7 linked regions of the Callithrix jacchus genome follow. The protein of the gene in region 3 purifies or fractionates together with the protein of the main gene of each other region. This does not show direct contact. Links are inferred from orthologs where the notes say so. Each region holds a gene or a part of one and is shown on either strand. Other genes may lie near its edges. The genes, in order: POLR1E, MED26, POLR2H, CRCP, DNAAF10, POLR3K and POLR3B.

Region 1 (3,500 bases), on a different chromosome or scaffold from region 3:
CAAGCAGTTTTCCTGCCCCCATCTCCCAAGTAGCTAGGATTACAGGTGGGCACCACCACACCCAGCTAATTTTTGTTTTTTTTAGTAGAGATGAGATTTCTCCATGTTGGCCATGTTGTTCTTGACCTCCTGACCTCAGGTGATCCACCTGCCTCGGCCTCCCACAGTGCTGGCTGGGATTACAGGTGTGAGCTACCGCGCCCAGTCTGTATTTGCTTAGTTCTTTTTTTTTGAGATGGAGTCTCACTCTATTGCCCAGGCTGGAGTACAGTGTCACAATCTCAGCTCACGGCAACCTCCGTCTCCCGAGTTCAAGCGATTCTCCTGCCTCAGCCTCCTAAGTAGCTGGGATTACAGGTACACACCACATTACCTGGCTAATTTTTGTATTTTTAGTAGAGGTGGGGTTTCACTGTATTGTCCAGGCTGGTCTCAAACTCCTGATCTCAGGTGATCTGTCCACCTTGGCCTCCCAAAGTGCTGGGATTACAGGTGTGAGCCACCTCGACCAGCCACTTAGTTCTTATTTTCACATTCCAATTCCACCTTTCCCTCTCTGTCTCTCTGAGCTTTCAGCACAATTTTGTTTTCTAACGTCATGTTAAATCTGCGTCCTACTGGGACGCCTGTGGCTCACGCCTATAATCACAGCACTTTGGGAGGCTGAGGTGGGTGGATCACCTGAGGTCAGGAGTTCCAAACCAGCCTGACCAACAAGGAGAAACCCCATCTTGACTAAAAATACAAAATTAGCCAAGTGTGGTGGGGTATGCCTGTAATCCTAGCTACTTGGGAGGCTGAGGCAGGAGAACTGCTTGAAGCCAGGAGGCAGAGGTTGCAGTGAGCTGAGATTGTGCCATTGCACTCCCTCCTGGGCAACAAGAGCAAAAATACGTCTCAAAAAAAAATTCTGTGTCCTTAGGCCTCGGGCTGTGGTTTCTTGTTACTGGCCCCTCACCAGCATCACTCTTGCAGGGAGGTCTGCCAGCAGAAGTGCACCGAGCGTGTCTGCATTTTGCCATGGCTGTTCTGCTTTGTGGGTCCTGCTTCTCTTACCACCTGGTTCTGGTCATTACAGTGGCCCAGCTGTTGGCCTTTTCTCTCAGCTCATGGTTGAGGTGTGGCCTGAGAGTTTTAAGAGAAAATGATAAAACTTAACTTTGTGTTGTAGATTCCCTGGGACCTGACATTCCCCACATCATCAACACCAAACTGCTGAAGCACTTTACCTGCTTGACGTACAACAATGGCAGGTCAGGGGGTGGTTTCTGGGATTTTTCCTGTGCAAGGGAAAGCAGGTAGGGGGAGTGAGGAGCGGGGGCTTGGACTCAATTTCATGTCCACAGATATGCAGTGCTAAAGAGATTGCTGCCATTTGGAAGTCTCCTGGGGCCCCAGAAAGTTCAGCAAACGCTAAATATTACTCTGTCCTTTTTGGAAAAGTATTGTCTTTTGGGAATCTTAGAAGCTCTGGGAAGTCCTACAATAGAGACTTGTTTTACGTCACATACTTCTTTTGAGGAGCCCTTCGTGATGTCCCACAGAGCTGGTGTTCTTCGCAAAGGCAACGTTGCATGAAAGGGCAGGCCAACTTGGGGACTTTGGGGAAAGACCCACAAGCAATGCCCGTGGGCTTTCCTTCCTGCCATCTGCATGGAATGTGTTTCCTGCTCCTGGGTGTGCTTTGAAGAATCAGCACAGTTGATTTGGGAATGAATGTTTTCCCAGCAACCCTGCTATGCAGGCGGGGACAGACTCAGAGGGCCCTCACCAGCTCGAAGTGCTAGTGGTACCCAGGGAGTGTGTAGGCCCAGCTTTCTCTCTCCCTCTCAGAGGGAAATGTGGACTGGCACACTGCTCCACTGTGTATGAGGCCCAGGAACCTTGGGAGGGCAAACAAGCCATCTACATTCCTTTTCCTTTCCTTTAGTTCCTGAGTGCATATGGGAATACGCTTGGATGTTCTTATTTTGCTTTTGGAGAAATTGTCTTAGACTTTAATTTTGTTTCTTCATTGCCATTGATATTCTAGATTACGGAACTTAATTTCGGATTCTATGAAGGCGAAGATTACTGCATATGTGATCATACTTGCCTTGCACATAAATGACTTCCAAATTGACCTGACAATGTTACAGAGGGACCTGAAGCTCAGTGAGAAAAGGTGAGCACAACAGAATAAAGAGCTCCCTGCAGGGCACCTTGATGTCTTACTTCTGGTACCACTGGAAAGCATGAGGCGCCACTAAGGGAACTGAGGATTTTTAAATGTAGGAACAACTTGGAACTAGAGGTCTATTTTCAATGAATCAATAATTGACTGAATGAGCAACTAGACATTACTGAGTGCCTTCTCTTTGCAAGGCACAGTCTTAAATTGTCATTATCTCATTGATTTCCCTAGAAAACAATTGAAGAATCAGGTTTAGAAAAGTACATGACTTTCTCAAAGTTATACAACCAAGAGGGGAGCAGTTGGACTTCAGACCTGAGCCTTTCCATAACATTCTGTTCCTGAATAACCAAGCAGCCTCCATTCTCTGAATTTCTGTTACTGGGGAGAGGGATTTTGTATGGTTCTGAGGATGCAGCCAAGGATGGAAGTTGTAGGAGAACCCAACTGCCACTTAGTAAGAAGAGCTTCCTCAGAATCAGATGGAAGGGCTTGCCCAGGGGAGGTGTTCAAGGACAGGTGGAACCTTGAACCACTGTTTGGCAGGGATGTCATATTTGCATTTTTCTGACCCGACTGGGAGAGCTGGTGGTGGGGATGACCTTTCAGGCTCCCTCTAACCTTGTAGAGGAGATTCAGACAGTAGGGGCAGAGCTGCCTGGGAACCTAAACCGTGGGGTCAGCTGATCTTTGTCAGTGATATAGGGGCATGTGATATCCAGGGACCCAGATGGTGTCTAGGAGATCCAGTGAACACACCTCCGTCTGGACTCTCCTAGCAGTCCATGGAGGGACTGTTCTGAGAGCTGTCCACAGACCGTGTTCCCACAGGCCCTGGGGCTGAAAAAAGAGAACAGGTACTTGGAACCCATCAGATTCTAGCAAGTGCTCAATGCTGATTGCTAAAAATTTGGTTATGGGTGGTAAAGAAAGTTGTCCATAGGGCTCTAAGATAGTCTGGTTTTTCATCACCCACATGGATCTTTCGAAGGGCGGCACATTAAAATGAAATTGTCTATCTGAGGGCTTTCAGTGGGTGAGGGGACCTTGCCTGTCCCTCTGCCTGGGGCTTTGCTCCTGCTGGCAACCTTTGGGATTCTGTCTTTATGGCCTGGAGCATGAATGTGCTGCTACCTTTTGCCATACCTCCCTGAACAGTCACATTGAGGAGTCTCTCCCATTGTTCTGTGTCTTCCTTAGGATGATGGAGATAGCCAAAGCCATGAGGCTGAAGATCTCCAAAAGAAGGGTGTCTGTGGCTGCCGGTGATGAAGAAGATCACAAACTGGGCACCCTGTCCCTCCCACTGCCTCCCGCCCAGACCTCA
Region 2 (2,322 bases), on a different chromosome or scaffold from region 3:
CTTTTGTTTTTGAGATGGAGTCTCACTCTGTCACCAGGCTGGAGTGTAATGGCACGATCTTGGCTCACTGCAACCTCCACCTCCCGAGTTCAAGCGATTCTTCTGTCTCAGCCTCCCAAGTAGCTGAGACTACAGGCACGTGCCACCACACTTGGCTAATTTTTGTATTTTTAGTAGAAACGGGGTTTTACTATGTTGGCCAGGCTGGTGTCGAGCTCCTGACCTCATGATCTGCCTGCCTCAGCCTCCCAAACTGCTGGGATTACAGGTATGAGCTTCCACTCCTGGCCTATATATTGATCTTCTAAGCTTTGTGCATTTTATTCAATGAATTCTTCAGTGTCCCCTCTCCCACTCCCATCATATGGCAGAGTAGAGGTCGTCTTAACTATCAGGAGCAGCTCTGATTTAAGAGTCCTGGGTTTCAGCAGGTAGGTGGGTGGGTATGCACTGTGTAAGGGCTTGGGGCAGACCACACACCATGCACTAGAGGAGGTCGAACGGCAGGTGGGGATGAGCACTGGGTGCCAGGTTGGCCCAGGGAGCAGGTAGGAGACTACCTGGAGTGTGGGCTTCAGTGCTTCCAGCTCCTCTTGCTCTGGGGTTGGGGAGAGACCCAAGCAGCCTGGGGCTGGGTGTCTCAGCCTCCCAGGGGGAGAGGACAGGCACCTAACAAATGGCTTTTTATTTCCACAGATCCGGAACATGGTGGCGGTGCTGGAAGTCATCTCCAGCCTGGAGAAATACCCCATTACCAAAGAGGCACTTGAGGTGAGTATCCCACACCCCAGCATGGGGGAGGGCAGAACGGGGGGCAGGGGGCGGCTCCAAACCAGGTCCTTGGGAACATCAGTCTCTTTGCTTCAGAGGACCAAGAGAGGCAGTGTGCCGTCACAGCATGTGCCCCACGATCATGGTCTCCCATGGGCACTGCAGGGACGGAGTGATGTTAATCCCATCCTGCATGCCCACTTTGTGGGCACGTGGGGGACATCGGGAGAGGTGTGCTTGGGGAAGGCTCCAGTGAGTGGCACCATCCCCAGCCCTCCACTTGAAGCAGGCCCTCTGTGCTGTCACCTTGGCAACGGCACCCTCTCACCCAGAAAGCCTCTCTGGCAGTGTCCTTGCAGTGACCTGACGGGCCACAGCCCCCTGGCACCGGAAGCACTGCCAAGAAGCCACCTGTGACCCTTAAGGTCTGGGGACTGGGTTCAGAAAATATTGTCACAAAGGGCCAGAAATCCCCAGAGGTTGTGTCGGGGAGCTGGCAGTTTAGGGCTCAGTGCGAATGGGGTCATTTCAGAGTCAGGGCCACTTCCCACCATTTCTGGCTCAGCTTGTGGGGAAGCCCCTGTCTTGAAAGTATGTCATCATCTCTTTCTGGTTGTAGGAAACACGGCTTGGGAAGCTCATCAACGACGTCCGCAAGAAAACCAAGAACGAGGAGCTCGCCAAGCGGGCCAAGAAACTACTTCGGAGCTGGCAGAAGCTCATCGAGCCAGCACACCAGCATGAGGTGGCACTGCGGGGGCTGGCAGGGGCCACCGGCTCTGCTAACGGGGGCGCACACAACTGCCGGCCAGAGGTCGGGGCGGCCGGCCCGCCCAGGAGCATCCACGACCTGAAAAGCCGCAATGACCTCCAGAGGCTGCCTGGGCAGCGGCTGGACAGACTGGGCAGCCGCAAGCGCCGGGGTGACCAGCGTGACCTTGGCCACCCGGGGCCGCCACCCAAGGTCTCCAAAGCTACCCATGACCCCCTGGTCCCCAACTCATCCCCCCTCCCCACCAATGGGATCAGTGGGAGCCCAGAGAGTTTCCCCGGCTCCCTGGATGGCAGCGGGCATGCAGGCCCGGAGGGCAGCCGCCTGGAACGTGGTGAGAACGACAAGCACGGTGGCAAGATCCCCATCAATGCCGTGCGGCCACACACCAGCTCCCCAGGCCTGAGTAAACCCCCTGGGCCCTGCTTGCAGGCAAAGGCTTCAGTGCTGCAGCAGTTGGACAGGGTGGACGAGACTCCAGGGCCTCCCCACCCCAAGGGGCCCCCTCGCTGCTCTTTCAGTCCTCGGAACTCACGGCATGAGGGCTCCTTTGCCCGGCAGCAGAACTTGTATGTACCTAAGGGCTCCATGCCCAGCCCCTCACCACGGCCCCAGACACTTGATGCCACACAGGTGCCGTCACCGCTTCCACTGGCACAGCCGTCCACACCCCCTGTGCGGCGGCCTGAGCTGCTGTCCAGCTCGGAAAGCCCAGTACGCTGGCTTGAGCAGCCTGAGAGCCACCAACGGCTGGCAGGGCCAGGCTGCAAGGCTGGGCT
Region 3 (2,619 bases):
CTCACAGAATTGCTGTGAGGACTAAATGGCGTCATGTTTATAATGTGCCTGTTGTTAAAATGCTGGCATCGAGTTACCAGTTACCATTTTTAAATGGCATCTTTTATATTGTTAATTACTGTTAAGAATAACTTTGCTACTCTTGCTCCATAGGGCTGACCAATTTGAGTATGTAATGTATGGGAAAGTATACAGGATTGAGGGAGACGAAACTTCTACTGAAGCGGCAACACGCCTGTAAGTTACATGATCTTGTGAGGATTGTTTTCCCCCTCCCTGTTCTGAGACTTTGAGTTATGCTTCTGCTTCCTCTGTTGGGTCCTTCTCCTTAGGCACCTCAGACATAGGTGGGAACTAGAAAGAAATGGTTATTAGAGCAGTTTCCAGTCTGAATTGTAGACTGCCCTTTGTCAGGCCCTCCTGGCCTAGTGGTCCAGAAGAGAAACTGGTCATCTCCCTGTTAAAGTATGGAGGAACCAAATGCAGCATTAAGTGATTATACTATTAGGCTGTGTGTGTGTGTGTGTGTGTGTGTCTTTTCCTTAAAATCTTATTAAAACAATATGTGCTGTTTGTAAGTAATTTGAAATGCGGAAGAGAATGTGAAGAAGAAAAAAAACCCTGTCATTCCATACCCAGAGAGAACCTTTTACATAGACTTTTTTGCATATCCTAGTGTTCTTTTTTTAAATTTATTTTTAATTTTTTGTTAATATCCTAGTGTTCTTAACATCTATATTTTTCCTTTGAGACTGCGGTGTTAATTACCTTTTTTCTGCTTTTTGCTTAACATTATGTAAAACATGTTTTGGCCGGGCGTGGTGGCTCACACCTGTAATCCCAACATTTTGTGAGGCCGAGGTGGGTGGATCACCAGGTCAGGAGTTTGAGACCAGCCTGGCCAACATAGTGAAACCCCGTCTCTACTAAAAAAATTACAAAAAATTAGCTGGGCATGGTGGCAGGTACCTATAATCCAGGTACTTGGGAGGCTGAGCCAGGAGAGTTGCTTGAACCCAGGAGGCGGAGGTTGCAGTGAGCTGAGATCTTGTGCCATTGCACCCCAGCCCAGGAGACAGAGAGAGACTCCGTCTCAAAAAAAAAGAAAAAGAAAAAGAAAATGTTTCCCCATGTTAGTGTAAAGCTTTCTTAAACATTTTAATAGTTAGATAACATTTCAGTAAGTGGATCCCATTCCCCTGATTTGGAGCATATAGGTGTTTTTCGACTTTGCTAATAGAAAGAACAATGCTGGCTGGGCGCAGTGGCTGATGTCTCTAATCCCAGCACTCTAGGAGGCTGAGGTGAGTGGATCACCTGAGGTTGAGAGTTTGAGAGCAGCCTGACCAACCTGGAGAAACCCCATCTCTATTAAAAATATAAAATTAGCCAGGTGTGGTGGTGTACACCTGTAATCCCAGCTACTTGGGAGGCTGAGGCAGGAGAACTGCTTGAAACCGGGAGGCAGAGGTTGCGGTGAGCCAAGATCACACCACTGCACTCCAGCCTGATCAACAAGAGAGAAACTCTGTCCCAAAGAAAAAAAGAACAGTGCCTTACACATATCTGTACATTCATCTTTGTCAGAATTTTGGTTCCTAGTGACAAAACAGTAGAAAGATGTTATTCTCTTTGTTAGGCTGAGATGGAGAGCTGCTGAGTAGTAGCTGCTCCAGACTCATGGCATGCGGCCTTCTGTTTCAGCTCTGCCTACGTGTCCTATGGGGGCCTGCTCATGAGGCTGCAGGGGGATGCCAACAACCTGCATGGATTTGAGGTGGATTCCAGAGTTTATCTGCTGATGAAGAAGCTAGCCTTCTGAACCTCGCCTGAAGCCAGCCTTGCTGCCACGTCACTCAGGTCCTGGACATCGTTCTAGCTTGAGTTGCAGCTGCTCTTGATTACCTGTTGAGGAGGGGCTGGTTCCCTGTCCACTGTGGCTGCATCTTTAACTGGCCTGCACTCAGTTAGAAACTCACTCGCCTGTGAAAGACACAGTGGGAGAGCTTAAAATCAATAGGAAGCTTTGTGTATATGATTTTTAATCAAATGTTACTTTTTCAGACTGCCCCTCCCCTTTTTGTAAAAAGTTCGTTTACTGTAAAATCATTTTTTCCAATTTGTCTGTGGTGTACTGTTTCTGGCCCGCAGCCAGCTGATCACTTGCCATTGTAGGATCTATTCCAGCCTTTTGGTATCTGGGTTCAGGGTTATCCCAGTCTCCTGGCTGACTGTTCCCAACGTTTATCCTCCAGTGTGGTTTTCTGTCTGGGAGAGGGAGTGTTGTGCTTTTGGCTCCTGAGGGCACCCCAGGCCCAGAAGATACCACCCATTTGGCACAGAAGTTTGAATTGGCAAGGAGCCCTGCTCGTGTCCTTCCAACACTTTCAGTCTCTTAGAGAGTCAGTTCACATTGACTTGAATGAGTCACTTGCATAGTCTCATTATTTCATTATTTTTGTGGAAGATTTGGGTAGAGGCTTTTAGCTACAGGCATGGGGGATGACTCTGAAGAGTCGGAGGAGAGGACTTGGTGCTTCCGGAGGCAGGTGGAGGAGCTGGCTCTCTGCTCTACATTCCAGTGGTGACCCGGGAGGGAGGGTAAGTGGAAGTGGACAG
Region 4 (3,500 bases), on a different chromosome or scaffold from region 3:
GCTCACGCCTGTAATCCCAACACTTTGGGAGGGAGGACGAGGAAGGCGGATCACAGGGTCAGGAGTTCAAGACCAGCCTGGCCAACATGGTGAAACTGCGACTCTACTAAAAATACAAAAATTAGCCAGGCGTGGTGGCAGGTGCCTGTGAGCCCAGCTACTGGGGAGGCTGAGGCAGGAGAATTGCTTGAACCCAGAGGCGGAGGTTGCAGTGAGCTGAGATTGTGCCATTGCACTCCAGCCTGGGCAATTAGAGCAAAACTCCGTTTCAAAAAAATAAAGAAAAATACAAAAAATTATCTGGGTGTAGTGGTGCACACCTGTAATCTCAGCTACTAGGGAGGCTGGGGCAGGAGAATCACTTGAACCCAGGAGGCAGAGGTTGCAGTGAGCCGAGATCGTGTCACTGCATTCCAGCCTGGTGACAGAGCAAGACTCTGTATCAAAAAAAAAAAAGATTGGGCCGGGCGCAGTGGCTCACGCCTGTAATCCCAGCACCTTGGGAAGCCGAGGCGGGTGGATCACGAGGTCAAGAGATCGAGACTATCCTGGTCAACAAGGTGAAACCCCGTCTCTACTAAAAATACAAAAATTAGCTGGGCGTGGTGATGTGCGCCTGTAATCCCAGCTACTCGGGAGGCTGAGGCAGGAGAATTGCTTGAACCCAGAAGGCGGAGGTTGTGGTGACCCGAGATCGTGCCATTGCACTCCAGTCTGGGTAACAAGAGCGAAACTCCGTCTCAAAAAAAAAAAAATAATAATAATTACAGATGTGCTCATGAAATATAAAAGTACAGAAAGTACCATTTCACTTCTCAGAGGTGCATATACAATCTGTTGACTTCTGTGTATATAACTGTTAACATTTTTCTTTTTTTTTCCTTGGAGACAGGGTCTTGCTCTGTTACTCAGGCTGGAGGAGTGCATGGCTTGACCTCCTGGGCTCAAGTGATCCTCCTACCTCAGCCCCCTGAGTAGCTGGGACTATTGGCACATACCACCATGCCTGGCTAATTTTTTTTTAGAAATAGGGTTCTACTGTGCTGCCCAGGATAGCGTTTTCCTTTTCTTTAAAGAAAAATGCTATACTAGGCCAGGTGCGGTGATTCAACGCCTGTAATCCCAGCACTCTGGGAGGCTGAGGCAGGCAGATCATCAGGTCAGGAGTTCAAGACCAACCTGGTCAACATGGTGAAACCCTGTCTCTACAAAAAATACAAAAATTAGCTGGGCATGGTGGCACACGCCTGTAATCCCAACTACTTGGGAGGCTGAGGCAGGAGAATCACTTGAACCTGGGAGGCAGAGGTTGCAGTGAGCTGAGATTGCACCACTGCACTCCAGCCTGGGCAACAAACAGCGAAACTCTATCTCGAGAAAAAGAAAAGAAAAATGCTATCCTACAACTCTATTTTTACTGACCCATTTTGAGCCTTCTCACTGGCTCAGTCCAGGATGTGAGTTGGCTCCACCCTTCAATCTGGAAGATGGAGAGGACTCACGAGGACCTAGGCCATGAGGTCTGTGTGTCAGGAGGCCAGGCTGAGACCATGAGCACACGCGGTGAGCAGGGCTACCCAGGGCTATGAGTTTCATTTGTAACCCTGGAAGGTTTTCTTTCCTTCTGCAGATGGTGGAAGAGAGTGAAGAGCGACTCACAGAGGAGCAGATTGAAGCTCTTCTCCACACTGTCACCAGCATTCTGCCTGCAGGGCCGGAGGCTGAGCAGAAGAAGAATGCTAACAGCGACGGGACAATGGATGAAGAGGACCCAGCATAGAGGAGCACAGCTGGCCCTGGTGTTTCAGGAAGTTAAAAGGCCCGGCAGCTGTTTCCTGGACTTTAAGAGGATTGTTTATTTGATTTTACCCTCTATCCCAGCAGGCCTGGCTTTCATGATTAATTGGATACATCACAAAAATAAGCTGAAAAGAAATATTTGTGCCTTGGGGATAAGAAACGTGGTAAAGACAGGCTGAGAGCTGAAGGTGGGGCCAGTGACCTCGGACCCCTCTGTGCTGGAAAGATTTCCTCCAAGGCCTTCGACCTGGTTGTGGGGAGGTCTCTGCACACAGCGGGGGAAAATGCTTGTGTCGCCTTTGATGGGCCATGTCCTAATTAGTTTCATCTGCTTTCCTGGGAACTTACTAAGCGGGGGCTCAGAGTGCTGTTGGGAATCTGGTTAGAGCCCCAGAGAGTTGCTCTAAGTGAAAAATGATCCACTAACCTTGGCTCACTTTAGAGGAATTTCCTCGAGAACAACAGAGATAAGGAAAGAACCAGCCTGGCCATTCAACAGCTCTAGAGGCCCCTTTCTCTGCTGGCGGGGCTTTCTTTACTGGCTCTCTATTAAGGCTAAATTTTAGGAACCAGATCACTGCAGTTGAAAACAGGCGCCCCAGGCTCAGTGGCAGTGGCAGTGGCGGCAGAAACAGTGTCGGCTGCCTTTCCAGCCACCCCACTTTCCTGCCGTGAGACAGCAGCCCAGGGCAGGTGCTTTATGTTGAGACCAGGTGATTGTCATTTGGACAACAGGCAAATCGTTTACTCCTTCATCAAGGACACAACCAGGTAGCTCTTTTCACAGAATATGTAAGAACTGGAGGTTGGTTAATTATTAACATTTACTGGCTGTTGCAAGGTTGCATCTTTTTGAATTTAAAATATTAAGATGATTACCATGTGAAGACGTTTTTAATATTCAGGCTTTGGAAAGTGTAGTTGCTCTAGGCATTTGGTTGGTTGCCTTAGGTCCTGCAAATATTGCTGAAAACCAGATTCCCCACATTCCTTCTCTTGGCTGTTTTAGGGAAGAAAATGGTCATAGACATTAGCTTTTCTAAACTGACACTCCTTTTCTTGTAAGATTACATATTTTCAGTGCTAATTGGATGACTTATCTCTGAACCATCCTCTCCACTCCGCAGGCAATGGATTGCAATTCCATGCATCTTAGCGGTATCATCTGAGCTTCAGCTGAAATCTGTTAACAGGCAACATTGAAAGTACCAGATTGGAACTGGGTGCAGTGGCTCTCTCCTGTAATCCCAGCACTTTGAGGAGGTGATTGCAGGCAGATCACGAGGTCAGCAGTTCGAGACTAGCCTCATCAACAAGGTGAAACCCCATCTCTACTAAAAATACAAAAAAAATTAGGCAGGCATGGTGGTGTGCACCTGTCCCAGTTACTCAGGAGGCAGAGGCAGGAGAATTGTTTGAACCTGGGAGGCGGAGGTTTGCAGTGAACTGAGATTGTGCCACTGCACTCTAGCCTAGGTAACAGTGAGATTCTGTCTCAAAAAACAAAACAAAACAAAACAACTTAACAATTCATGGAGGTAGAGAGAAGAATGGTTACCAGAGGCTAGGAAGGGTAGAGGGAGTGGGTAGGGATGGCTAATGGACATAACGTAGAAGGAAGAAGATCGAGTGTTTGATAGCACAACAGGGTAACTACAGTCAGCAATGATTTATTGTACTTTTCATCTTTTTTTTGATAC
Region 5 (4,207 bases), on a different chromosome or scaffold from region 3:
AAAGCAGCAAGTACTTATGTTCATTGTTTACTTACTTCTATTTATGACAATCTCTTTACTCGACCTTTTCTCAATTTGATATTGAACATTATAAAAGATATACAGAAGCCGAACCAGTATTTTGGTATGATCTCAGAACTTACAAATCCAACTAATATTTGTATCAAATGCAGATTTTGAAGGCATTTGGGAAGTTCAAACTCAATATAGTAAATTTTTAAACTGGACAAAAACCATTTAACAGAATACGTCCCCTTAAGTAAAGTCTATTCAAGCCTTTTCATCTCTAGGAGAGAAAGCGTGGTGTATTGGGAAATGGCTGAGATTTTCCTTACCCTGATTTCTACATTCCTTGATTTCAAGTTAAAGCGTATCTGAAGTCCCAAATGTTCCACAATAGGAGTAAATATCTTCATCCAGTTTTCTTTTAATGGTGTGTATCTGTTAGCTGGGACCGGAATTTTCCTTGTTTCTTCTTTCCCACTCTGTAATAAAAGAACACACAACTCAGGAAACTATGGAGGGATGGTGATGGAGTTGTAAAATGACATCTGATCCACAAAGGGCTTCCTTTAACTGAACTAGTTACACTTCAAAGAATCACTTCTTTCAGCAAAACAGCCCCCCGCAGCTTCAACATAGCCCAGAGGCCACCGGCTTGATTGGCCTCTGGCCATTGCCTCGTTGCTATCCCACGGTCCCAGCCACATACCAGGAGCCCGTCACCACAGAGGGGCGGGAAGACTGGCCTCTTCGCCGGCCTGGCCTCTTCTGTGTCCATAAGGCCCGCATCCCCGCCCTCTCCCGCTGCGGACAGCTGTTCAGCCTGCCGTTTTTTCGCCCGCCGGCCACCCTTGCGGGTGACCTGGGTAAAGCCGTCCTCTGCCCCGGCGCTCTGTGCTTCCATTTCGGATTCCAACCCTGGGATTCTTAAAGCACTTCCGGCTGAAACACGTGCGCTGCTCCACAGCGCAGGAGCCAGCCTCTGCCAACCACCCCCGCAGCTCCGCCCCTATCCTAAAACGCCACAGGCCGGGGACCTGCAGAATTTGGGGGCGGGGTGGAAAGGGCATGTAGGCTGTCCTAAGATATGCCTGATGCTCATCGTCTCACTCCAGTCACGCCACTCACAGCACAAGTATTTTGTAATCTCTAATATGTATGTGTGCTAAAGACAGTGGGTAAAGGCGATAAACAAATTCGTTTTGTTGTGAAGGAACATTCTATGCGATCGCAGGAGCGTATCTGGCATTATCCGGAGATAACCACAGCCAACTTTCTAGGGCATCTGGGGCAGAGTACGGAAAGCAGGAGGGTCAAATTGCCCATGTTTGGAGTCTGGTTTCCAGGTTGGTGTTTTGGGGGGCTCTGGGTGTGGCGGTTGCCGGAGCTGAAATCGGCTGGACCATGTCGGCCTTCGAGAAGCCTCAGATCATCGCCCATATCCAGAAGGGCTTCAACTACACGGTGTTTGACTGTAAGTGGGTGCCCTGCAGCGCCAAATTTGTGACCATGGGCAACTTCGCACGGGGCACCGGCGTCATTCAGCTGTACGAGATCCAGCACGGGGACCTGAAGCTGCTTCGGGAGGTGGGTGCCGGGTCAAGCATCTGGACTGCCGTTGGGAGCGCGTGCAGATCCTGGGATCTGCATTTCTCTTTGCCAGAGTCTTCGTGCAGCATCCCCCCAAAGCATAGCTTGAGCCGCGCAAGACCAGAGAAGCTGACCGCCGACTGAGGAATGTTTCCTACTTAAAATGTTTATGCTCATCCGCGGGCTAGTTCCTCCGTGTCCAACCCTCCTGTCACTCCCAGTGCAGTCCGGCCAAAGCGGGCACCAGTATGCCTGCAGTATAGTTGGAAGAGGCAACCTAACACATTCGACAGGTATCAGTTGAGTGCCTGGTATTCCCAGGCATGTCAGTGGCAATGTCCCCGATCTCATGGAGTTTATTTTCTAGTGGGAGAGATACTCAGTTCGGTAATCAAAGCAACGATACGTAAATACAAACTGAGATGACTTGTCTCACACAAAGTAACATGATAACGGCTCTCTGAGAGTGAAAACAGATTTGGGATGAGTAAAAACTGATTTTGGTATGTGCATAAACTAGGCCGAACGAGGAGTAAAGGACAAGGTTTCCAGAGCTTCTGCATATGCAGAAGCTCAGTGATGGGAGGAAGTTTATCTCCTTAAGAAACTAGAGGGGTAAGCAGGAAGCAGACATTACAAGAGCTGTAGGACATTGAAAGGATTTATGCCTTTTTTCTAAGAAAAATGGAAAACCATTGAAAGGATTTAAGCAGGGTGTGGCAAAATTAGGTTTACACGTTGATTACTAGCGAAAGAATTAAAGAATAATAATCACTAGCATTTTATAGCTGTTTATAGTTTTTAAAAACTCTTAATTTAGGTTACCTAAAAGAAGAAAAAAGATCAGTCATAATCAGATCAGGGTTGTAATAGACTACTAGCGCAGGGAAGGTTAAGAACTCTGGGGATCAAAATTTATGGAGAGAATCGGCTTGGAGGAGGTAGGGACTACACTGGTAGCTAAAGGATGAATACAGTTGTTTGGACTGGTAAGTCTGGAATAGAAAGTATGTAAGACCCCATCCCACTTGAAATTTCCCTGAATAACAAACATGAAACATGGCCTATTCCTTTTTACCTTTCCTTAGCGTCCAGTAACCTGTGGCTTTTTTTTTTTTTTTTTTTTTTGACAGGGTCTCACTCTGTCACCCAGCCTGGAGTGCTGTGGTGAAAACACAGCTCACTGTGACCTCCACCTCCCTGGCTCAAGGGATCCTCCCACCTCAGCCTCCAGAGTAGCTGGGATACAGGTGTGTGCCACCACACCTAGCTAATTTTTTTGTACTTTTTTTTTTTTGGTAGAGATGGGGTTTCACCATGTTGCCCAGGCTGGTGTCCACCTCCTGGGCTCAAGCAGTCTGCCCGCCTCGGCCTCTCAAAATGCTGGGATTACAAGAGTGAACCACCGCACCCGGCCACCTGTTGCTATTCTAATGTTCAGTTCAGATTATCTAATGTATGATGTCCTTCCTGATTTCTACACAAAGTAAAATTTCTTTATATCGCATTTGGGGTTCTTTTTGTTTTTTATTGTTGTTTTCTTTTTTTTAGAGATGGCGTAGTTCTGTCACTCAGTCTGGACTGCAGTCGTATTGTCATACCTCACTGTAGCCTAGAACTCCTGGGCTCAAACCATCCTACTGCCTCTGCCTCCCAAAGTGCAGGATAAGGTGTGAGCTACCATTAAAAAGAAAAGGCATTTAAAGGATTTTCATTTTTTATTTTTTTTGAGACGGAGTCTGGCTCTGTTGCCCGAGCTGGAGTGCAATGGCGCGACCTTGGCTCATTGCATCCTCCGCCTCCCAGGTTCAAACTAGTCTGCCTCAGTCACCCTAGTAACTGGGTTTACATGTGCTTGCCACCGTGCCCAGCTAATTTTTTTGTATTTTTAGTAGAGATGGGGTTTCACCATGTTGGTCGGGCTGGTCTCATACACCTGACCTCAGGTGATCCACCCGCTTCAGCCTCCCAGAGTGCTGGGATTACAGACTTGAGCCACTGCATCTGGCCATTTATTCCTTTTTCAAAGAAAATGGGACATGATTGAAATTTTTCTTTTCTTTTTTTTTGTTTTTGAGATAGGTTCTCACTCTTGCCTAGGATGGAGTACAGTGGCAGGATCAGGGCTCAGACTTGTGACTTTTTAAAATAAGAATAGGCCTGGTGCAGTGGCTACACCTGTAATCCCAACACTTTGGGAGGCAGAGGGGTGGATTGCTTGAGCCCAGGAGTTAAAGACCAGCCTGGGCTACAAGATGAAACCTCATCTTTACTTTTTGTATAAAATAATACAAAAATTAGCTGGGCATAGTGACATGTGCCTGTAGTCCCAGCTACTTAGGAGGCTGTGGTGGGAGGATGTCTTGAACCCAGAAGGTCAAGGCTGTAGTGAGCCATGATTGCACCACTGCACTTCAGCCTGGGTGACAGAGAAAGACCCTGCCTCAAAAAATAATAAAATAAGAATATATGATTTGTACGCATTTCAAAAGTACGCTTACTCCTTTAGGTGGAGTAGAGTGCTTTGTCTTTTGTAGAAACGCTAGGGAATTTCAGCAAATTTTAAAAAGATAATTTTCTTTTGTAGCAAAAGTAATATGTATTTGTGATAGAA
Region 6 (4,107 bases), on a different chromosome or scaffold from region 3:
GTGGGAAATTTACCAGGGTAGCAAAAAACGGTATTAACTATAAATATTTTAACACAACATTTAAGAAGCACAAGGCCAATTAAAAAATCCATGAGCAAAATATCAAACATTTAGAATTGGCCGGGCGCGGTGGCTCATGCCTGTCACCTCAGCACTTTGGGAGGCCGAGGTGGGCAGAGCACGAGACTGAAACCATTCTGGGCAGCATGTTAGATCGTGCTACTGCACTCCAGCCTGGCTCTGTCTCAAAAAAAAAAACCCACTCAAACAAAGTATCGTGCCAAAGCATGTTGGTGCTTGAGGCAAATGGAACAATCAGTGCTACGAATCTTGCTCTTGTTTAAAACTAGATTTTTTTCTTTACTGTAGGCTTTTTTTTTTTTTTCATCAACTTTTACTTTTAAAACTATTACAGACTGGGCGGGTGGCTCACACCTATAATCCCAGCACTTTGGGAGGCAGAGGCAGGAGGATCGCCAGAGCCCAGGAGTTCGATACCAGCCTGGGCAACATAGTGAGACCCCCCCCTCTCTACAAAAAATTTAAAAATTAGCTGGGCGTGGTGTCCCGCACCTGTGGTCCCAATTACTCGGGAGGCTGAGGTGGGAGGATGGCTTGAGCTCAGGAGGTCCAGGCTACAGTAAGCCGAGATCGCGCCACTGCACTCCAGCTTGGGTGACAGAGCATGACCCTGTCCCCCAGACCCCCTCTAAATACAATTACATTAAAAGGTCATTTATTGTCACTCACTAGTGAGGTTTCTGGTGCCTCTTTAAATTTCGCGCCCCAGGCGAGTGCGCCCTACCCAGGTTAAGACCCTCGTTTACACCCAGAGGCGCCTTCTCCCATCAGCACCTTCAGAGGCTGCACGTACCCGAACGCCCCGGCTCCCGGCCCCCGGGGGAACGACCCCAGCCCCCCAGCCTCCGCCCGCACACACCTGGATCGGCAGATCGCAGAGCAGCGGGTCCTGCACCACCATGGCCAGACCCTCCTGGAACACGTCCACGGCCTCGGAGTGAGGCAGCGTCTCCTCTTCGTCCTCATCGTCCTCTTGCGCCTCGGGCCGACTCGCGGCCTCGACCTGCTCCAGGACTGCGCGTCTCAGTAGGGCCCCGCCCGCACTGCCAAGCCGCACTACGGAGGCCAAGTACGCAGGCGCAGGAACGGGGGCCCGCCCCAGCGAGGCCGCCCAGCCATTGGTGCATCGAGGGGAGGGGCAGTTGCAGTGACCAATGACAAGTACGAGATAGCCTGCTGGGCGCGCAGAATCGCCCTGTCTATTGGTTGGCTGGGCGGGGCGGGGCGGCTGCCGGCACCGACGTGAGCTCGAGGCGGGCGGTGTGTCGGCGCTGAGGGACGGCGGGAGCTGCTGGGAGCCGGGCCCTGTGGAGTCGGAGACGATGCTGCTGTTCTGCCCCGGCTGCGGGAACGGGCTGATCGTGGAGGAGGGACAGCGCTGCCACCGCTTCGCCTGCAATACGTGCCCCTACGTGCACAACATCACCCGCAAGGTGGGACTCGAAGGCGGGCGTCTCTCGCAGGACTTCCGCTTCCTCCGACTGCAGCGCCTTCGCCGCCAGCCCCGGCGTGTCTGTGCCTCTGCCCTTTCCTTCTCTCGTTTTTTTTTTTTTTTTTTTTTTTTTTTTAAAGTGAGACATCCTCTCGCTCTGTTGCCCAGGCTGGAATGCAATGGCGCGGTCTCGGCTCACCGCAACCTCCTCCTCCAAGGTTCAAGCGATTCTCCTGCTTCAGCCTGCCGAGTAGCTGGGATTACAGGCGCCCGCAACCACGCCCGGCTAATTTTTTTTTTTTTTTTTTTTTTTTTTTTTTTTTTTGAGACGGAGTTTCGCTCTTGTTACCCAGGCTGGAGTGCAGTGGCGTGACCTCGGCTCACCGCAACCTCTGCCTCCTGGGTTCAGGCAATTCTCCTGCCTCAGCTTCCTGAGTAGCTGGGATTACAGGCACGCGCCACCATGCCCAGCTAATTTTTTGTATTTTTAGTAGAGACGGGGTTTCACCATGTTGACCAGGATGGTCTCGATCTCTTGACCTCGTGATCCACACGCCTCGGACTCCCAAAGTGCTGGGATTACAGGCTTGAGCCACCGCGCCCGGCCTGGCTAATTTTTTTTTTTTTTTTTTTTTTTTGTATTTTTAGTAGAGACGGGGTTTCACCGTGTTGGCCAGGCTGATCTCAAACTCCTGACCTCGTGATCCGCCCGCCTCTACCTCCTAAGGTGTTGGGATTACGGGAGTCAGCCATTGCGCCCGGCTGTCCGCTCTTTCTCGCGCCCCCTTCCAGTCGGCAGCGGATCCCGTGGGCTCTGCTTTCCTGTACACCCGGCTAGGCCGCCGTTTCCCGCCTCCCTGGGTTCCTGCTCTCACGCTTGCGCCCCTTACTGCGTTCGCAGCAGCGGCCACGGCGATTCCGTAAGGGCCGAGTCACACAGGTCCGTGTTGTGCGCAGAAACTTTCGACCTTTCCCAGCTCACGCAGGGGAAAAGCCGGAGTCCTCCAGGACCTACCAGGTTCCGACACTGAGCCGCTGCCCGGCGCTCCTCCTGTTGCCCTTTGCCCCATCAACACCAGCCTCCTGGAGGACTGGCACTTAAGGTTGCTTGGTTCACTCTTCCCCTAGAGCCGGCTTACTCACTGGTCTGGTCTTGTCTTCAACGTTGACTGTATTTTAAGTTGCAGCCCTTCCTTCTCAGTTATCCTCCTTCCCTTTTTTTTTTTTTTTTTTTTTTTTTTGAGACGGAGTTTCGCTCTTGTTACCCAGGCTGGAGTGCAATGGCGCGATCTCGGCTCACCGCAACCTCCGCCTCCTGGGTTCAGGCAATTCTCCTGCCTCAGCCTCCTGAGTAGCTGGGATTACAGGCACGCGCCACCGTGCCCAGCTAATTTTTTTGTATTTTTAATAGAGACGGGGTTTCACCGTGTTGACCAGGATGGTCTCGATCTCTTGACCTCGTGATCCACCCGCCTCGGCCTCCCAAAGTGCTGGGATTACAGGCGTGAGCCACCGCGCCCGGCCCCTCCTTCCCTTTTTAATTGTTTCCATAGGGCTTATTACCTCCTAATATATTATGTAATGTATTGTGTGCTTTGTTTATTAATAGTAGGACCTAAGGTCTAGGCGGGCAGGGTTTTTCTCTGTTCCTTTCCATGTTCTATTCTGAACAACTAAAAGGAAACCTATGACATAGTAGCTGTTCAGTAAGCAGATGATGCACTGTATTATAACTTATTACTTTTCCTTAATAATACAGATTTGCTTTTTAGAATACCTTTACTTTTGTTTTTTTTTTTTTTTTTTTTGAGACACCGTTTTGCTCTTGTTGCCCAGGCTGGAGTACAGTGGCGTGATCTCGGCTCACTGCAACTTCCATCTCCGTGGTTCAAGTGATTCTCCTGCCTCAGCTTTCCAAGTAGCTGGGAGTACAGGCGTGCGCCACCACCGGCTATTTTTTGTATTTTTAATAAAGACAGGGTTTCACCATGTTGGCCAGGATGATCTTGAACTCCCAGCCTCAGGCGATCTTGCCTTGGCATCCCAAAGTGCTGGGATTACAGCTGTGAACTGTCTTTTTTTCTTTTTTTGAGATGGAGTCTTGCTCTGTTGTCCAGGCTGGAGAGCAGTGGTGTGATCTTGGCTCACTGCAACCTCCATCTCCCAGGTTCAAGCATTTCTTACGTCTCAGCTTCCCGAGTAGCTCAGCTACTTCATCCTCCTGAGGCATCTGCCACCACGCCCTGCTAAATTCTGCACTTTTAGTAGAGATGGGGTTTCACCATGCTGGCCAGGCTGATCTTGAACTCCTGACGTCAGGCGATCTGCTTGCCTTGGCATCCCAAATTCTAGGATTATAGGTGTGAGCCACCATGCCCGGCCAGAATACCTTTACTTTTCAGAAGTTAGAACGTCGTGGTGTGACCTCAGTCTTAATGTTTGCATACTACTCCGTTTTGTACTGTGTTGTGGGAGTGTAGAGTCTGAAACTGTGGGAAGAGTGAATTCTTATGCAGTCCTGAAATTTGAGGTTTGGAGGCCCAAGTTTGCACCATTTGGCTACTTTGAGTCTGAAGGCTTGTTTTTGTCAGGTA
Region 7 (3,500 bases), on a different chromosome or scaffold from region 3:
GAAGAGATGTAGATGACTCAATTCCTTGACCATTTCAAACTGAGCACATGCACATGTCTACTGAAATGATAGACATATGTGTGCTTAAAATTGCAAAGAGAGAAGAGAGGAGATTCTCAAGATAATAATCACCTCAGCAGTGAGACCCTAATTGGGTCAGATGTGTTTCTCCCCTAAATGCTGTCTCCTCTAAACTTCCATTTCAGTTACAACATCCAAAAACTATTTGAGAGTAACATAAATGTCAAAGCAGTTATTTCCTATATTTTGCTTTGTTGTGTAGAAAAAGTTATTACTTTGGTATTACTTTTGTGTCTGCCATATGAAGACTGCCTTGAATGCATTTGTCTGTAGTCAGTTATCTCAGTTGGCTAAAATCCAAGTATTGGATTCTGTCTACATATGGTCTGTCTACCTTTACCTTGTTCAGTGACCTCAGGTGCAGGGAGCAACTACCCATGTGTTTTTCTACTACAGGTAAAAATGTATAGATGTGCTCAGTTATGAAGTTTCCACTATAATGTGTTTATTTAGACCTGTTTGTAAGTTCTTCATGTGTAGATTTCCCTTCAACAAGTAATCTACAACTTCTTTGATCTCACATTGAAACTTTCAACCACAATTTTTAAAAATCTTAAAATTTCAGTATGTGTTGGCATACCCTGTGTTCACCTTCTTAATTCTTGGGGAGACTGGCAGCAACAACAAAGATTAAAAGATGCCATGGAATACAGCAGACAACGGGTGCATGGTCACCCCTGCTCAAAGATTACCTTTAAGAAGCCTGCCAGGGAGCTTGCTTCCCCCTCCCCCAATAATTTGTATGATCCATACCTACATAGCATTGCCTCAATTGTTGAGAACCCCTAATTTTACCTGCATTAGGTCCTGGATTCTGAGCCTTTTAAAGTATTCTCAAGCCCAGCATATACATAAACCACAGGGAATCCATTCAAGGGGCTAACAGCTCTGGCTGAAACTACTGGAGGATCCAGATTTCTCCCACAGTCTGTTCTGCTTAGTTTTTCTGCTTTTAAATAATAGAATACTGAGACATCTTTGAAAATACTCAAAGAACTTGTTCCCTGATTTGAAAACTCTGCTATCCTAATAATAATGATAGTGATGGTAATAGTAATGCTAGCACTGGTGTTTTCTGTGATTATATATTAACATGTTATTACATCATATGATATTATGTAATTATATATTAATTTCATTTAACCATAAGAACCATCAATAATACATCTTTTCTCAGTTGAGGCTCTTTGGGATAGGTATGCTTATGCACTTTTACAACGAGGCTGAGCCGCATGTTCAAAGTCACTGTCCAGTTAGTGATTTGGATCCAGGCGAGCCCTGCTCCAAAGCCTCGTGTTCTCTGCCAGGATGTGATGCTGCCTCATTGTTTGTTTAATAGAATAAGAACACATTTGTCTAATAACTTGTTTCAAAGGCAACCCACTGAAGGACGGTCTCGTGATGGTGGCTTGCGTCTTGGGGAAATGGAACGTGACTGTTTAATCGGTTATGGAGCCAGTATGCTTTTGCTAGAGAGACTAATGATTTCAAGTGATGCCTTTGAGGTTGATGTCTGTGGGAAGTGTGGCCTTCTCGGGTATTCTGGCTGGTAAGTGAATACCATATGTCTCCCATACCACACTCCTTGCCTCTTAAATCATAGCTTAAGAAATGACCGTGGATCCTACTGGCATGTTCTCTAGTCTCTGTCAGTGATCACTAACATACCCTTTCTCATGCGTGTATTCCTGTCATTGGGGATACTCTATGCGCATGTATCATTAGTCTATATGATGATCTACTTCCTACACAACCAGAGGCTAAGCTCCCAAGGAGTATAAACTTTATCTTCTTTTAAGTATTATCTCAGGTACTTTTTACAACACTGTTTACCTGTGAAAGTCCTAGCAGATGTATTGTGGATGTTAGAATAACAGTGTGTTAAAGAACCTCTTTAAAGAAGATTATGTCAAGTGCTTTCATTTGCAACTTCAGACCCAAAGAGCCAGGGATGCTTCCCCAGCTCTCATAGCAAATTGGTGCCAAGACCAAGATCTGGTACCCTGCCCCTGTCTATACTCTCTGCCGTGGCAAGCTCCTTCACACTTGTACTGTAGATTCTGTCAGGGCAGAAGCTGGGTCTGTCTCATTAATTTATTCAGCAAACATTTAGTAGGTGTCTGCTAAGTGCTACACACTGTTCTAGGCCCCAGAAATGCAGCAGTGAACGAGACAGGTGATGGCTGCTCCCAAGGAGCTTATCTTCTAGTTCATTGTCATTGCATTCTGTCATGTTTACCCTCATTTCTCCAGACTGGGACCTGGTATATGCTTCATCAAAAAGTACTGGATGAATGATACTCTGCATTTTATTTTTTTGTTTGTTTGAAGACAGGGTCTCACTCTGTTGCCCAGGCTGGAGTGCAGTAGTGCAATCTCGGATCACTGCAGCCTCAATCTCCCAGGCTCATGTGATTCTCCCACATCAGTCCCCCGAGTACCTGAGACTACAGGCTCACACCACCACACCTGGCTAACTTTTGTATGTTTTATAGAGGCAGGGTTTCACCATGTTGCCCAGGCTTGTTTCAAACTGCTGGGCTCAAGTGATCTCTCCCAAAGTGCTGGGATTACAGGCATGAGCCACCATGCCCATCTAAAAGTGAGTTCTTTACTTTTCAATCAGAGGCAAGGTCCAACAAGATCTAAGGCAGAAGGCATAGAGCTGCCAAACAGCCTCAATGCCCCCATCGCCCTCACCTGCCCTCCCCAGAGTGCCTTTTCTGTAGAGAGGGGTCATCCCCAAGATATAGTTAGGTCCAAATAGCATTCATTTGCTGGGGTTTGAGGAATATGTGGGCCACCTTTTCCCCATTGAGTCCCCACTGTAAAGTCTCCTTCCAGACAGAGTCTCAACTTCTTGTCATTCTGAACTACTAATTTCTAAGTTGAAAAAAGCCAATCACAAGTTGAACAAATGAGCTTCTTAGAACACACTGTATACCTTGCCAGATAAATGTCAAAACCTTTTAGCCAGTTATTTCATGATTTTGGTGTAGAAGACTCTTTGTCTGTGAAGAAATCATTTCATTTTAAAAACTGACAGAAGAGGTGGCCATTTGCAGTTCATCTTCCATAATGTTGCAGACAACGGGTGACATGATTCCAAGAATAAGCCTAGCTCTTTCTTATAGGAATGAGATGGGGGTTTGCTTCCGTCCTGAGATGTCTGTTTGTCTTTTGAAATGCATGTTGAACTTGCTTTTTATAGTCTGGGCTGTGCAACCAAAAAGAAAATAAATCATGTAATAGGAAGATGCCTGGATCCTAGTTCCACTATGCTTAAATCTTCAAATTTGACACAAGGACTTTTGAATAATTTGCTTTGAAAGAATGGTAGAGAAGAATCATGTCATTAAAAATAGAGGTTGTGGGCCTTCAAAAAGAGTTTCCTTTTCTCTTCCTCCCCCTTGCATTCA

Evidence for each region.
Region 1: the proteins of POLR2H (region 3) and POLR1E purify together in Homo sapiens (affinity purification with mass spectrometry; 3 studies listed by BioGRID and IntAct, with this or other methods). This does not show direct contact. The link is inferred for Callithrix jacchus from reciprocal best matches to the Homo sapiens genes POLR2H and POLR1E.
Region 2: the proteins of POLR2H (region 3) and MED26 purify together in Homo sapiens (affinity purification with mass spectrometry; 3 studies listed by BioGRID and IntAct, with this or other methods). This does not show direct contact. The link is inferred for Callithrix jacchus from reciprocal best matches to the Homo sapiens genes POLR2H and MED26.
Region 4: the proteins of POLR2H (region 3) and CRCP purify together in Homo sapiens (affinity purification with mass spectrometry; 3 studies listed by BioGRID and IntAct, with this or other methods). This does not show direct contact. The link is inferred for Callithrix jacchus from reciprocal best matches to the Homo sapiens genes POLR2H and CRCP.
Region 5: the proteins of POLR2H (region 3) and DNAAF10 purify together in Homo sapiens (affinity purification with mass spectrometry; 3 studies listed by BioGRID and IntAct, with this or other methods). This does not show direct contact. The link is inferred for Callithrix jacchus from reciprocal best matches to the Homo sapiens genes POLR2H and DNAAF10.
Region 6: the proteins of POLR2H (region 3) and POLR3K purify together in Homo sapiens (affinity purification with mass spectrometry; 3 studies listed by BioGRID and IntAct, with this or other methods). This does not show direct contact. The link is inferred for Callithrix jacchus from reciprocal best matches to the Homo sapiens genes POLR2H and POLR3K.
Region 7: the proteins of POLR2H (region 3) and POLR3B purify together in Homo sapiens (affinity purification with mass spectrometry; 5 studies listed by BioGRID and IntAct, with this or other methods). This does not show direct contact. The link is inferred for Callithrix jacchus from reciprocal best matches to the Homo sapiens genes POLR2H and POLR3B.

What each region holds. Positions count from the first base shown.
Region 1 is NC_133502.1:144,473,317-144,476,816, forward strand, and holds part of POLR1E (DNA-directed RNA polymerase I subunit RPA49), read left to right. Parts: intron 1-1,171; coding exon 1,172-1,253; intron 1,254-2,032; coding exon 2,033-2,164; intron 2,165-3,373; coding exon 3,374-3,500. UniProt on the Homo sapiens protein: Component of RNA polymerase I (Pol I), a DNA-dependent RNA polymerase which synthesizes ribosomal RNA precursors using the four ribonucleoside triphosphates as substrates.
Region 2 is NC_133523.1:15,193,626-15,195,947, reverse strand, and holds part of MED26 (mediator of RNA polymerase II transcription subunit 26), read left to right. Parts: intron 1-696; coding exon 697-771; intron 772-1,390; coding exon 1,391-2,322. UniProt on the Homo sapiens protein: Component of the Mediator complex, a coactivator involved in the regulated transcription of nearly all RNA polymerase II-dependent genes.
Region 3 is NC_133516.1:13,344,881-13,347,499, forward strand, and holds the end of POLR2H (DNA-directed RNA polymerases I, II, and III subunit RPABC3), read left to right. Parts: intron 1-153; coding exon 154-237; intron 238-1,704; coding exon 1,705-1,822; 3' UTR 1,823-2,119; downstream 2,120-2,619. UniProt on the Homo sapiens protein: DNA-dependent RNA polymerase catalyzes the transcription of DNA into RNA using the four ribonucleoside triphosphates as substrates.
Region 4 is NC_133503.1:3,198,850-3,202,349, reverse strand, and holds part of CRCP (DNA-directed RNA polymerase III subunit RPC9), read left to right. Parts: intron 1-1,630; coding exon 1,631-1,780; 3' UTR 1,781-3,500. UniProt on the Homo sapiens protein: DNA-dependent RNA polymerase catalyzes the transcription of DNA into RNA using the four ribonucleoside triphosphates as substrates.
Region 5 is NC_133515.1:45,714,018-45,718,224, forward strand, and holds the start of DNAAF10 (dynein axonemal assembly factor 10), read left to right. Parts: upstream 1-1,407; coding exon 1,408-1,590; intron 1,591-4,207. Other genes in the region: RNA-binding protein PNO1, read right to left, coding at 336-485, 713-907. UniProt on the Homo sapiens protein: Key assembly factor specifically required for the stability of axonemal dynein heavy chains in cytoplasm.
Region 6 is NC_133513.1:2,334,473-2,338,579, reverse strand, and holds the start of POLR3K (DNA-directed RNA polymerase III subunit RPC10), read left to right. Parts: upstream 1-1,307; 5' UTR 1,308-1,403; coding exon 1,404-1,514; intron 1,515-4,104; coding exon 4,105-4,107. Other genes in the region: SNRNP25 (U11/U12 small nuclear ribonucleoprotein 25 kDa protein), read right to left, coding at 941-982. UniProt on the Homo sapiens protein: Core component of RNA polymerase III (Pol III) which synthesizes small non-coding RNAs using the four ribonucleoside triphosphates as substrates. Can mediate Pol I proofreading of the nascent RNA transcript.
Region 7 is NC_133510.1:109,362,176-109,365,675, forward strand, and holds part of POLR3B (DNA-directed RNA polymerase III subunit RPC2), read left to right. Parts: intron 1-1,456; coding exon 1,457-1,630; intron 1,631-3,500. UniProt on the Homo sapiens protein: Catalytic core component of RNA polymerase III (Pol III), a DNA-dependent RNA polymerase which synthesizes small non-coding RNAs using the four ribonucleoside triphosphates as substrates.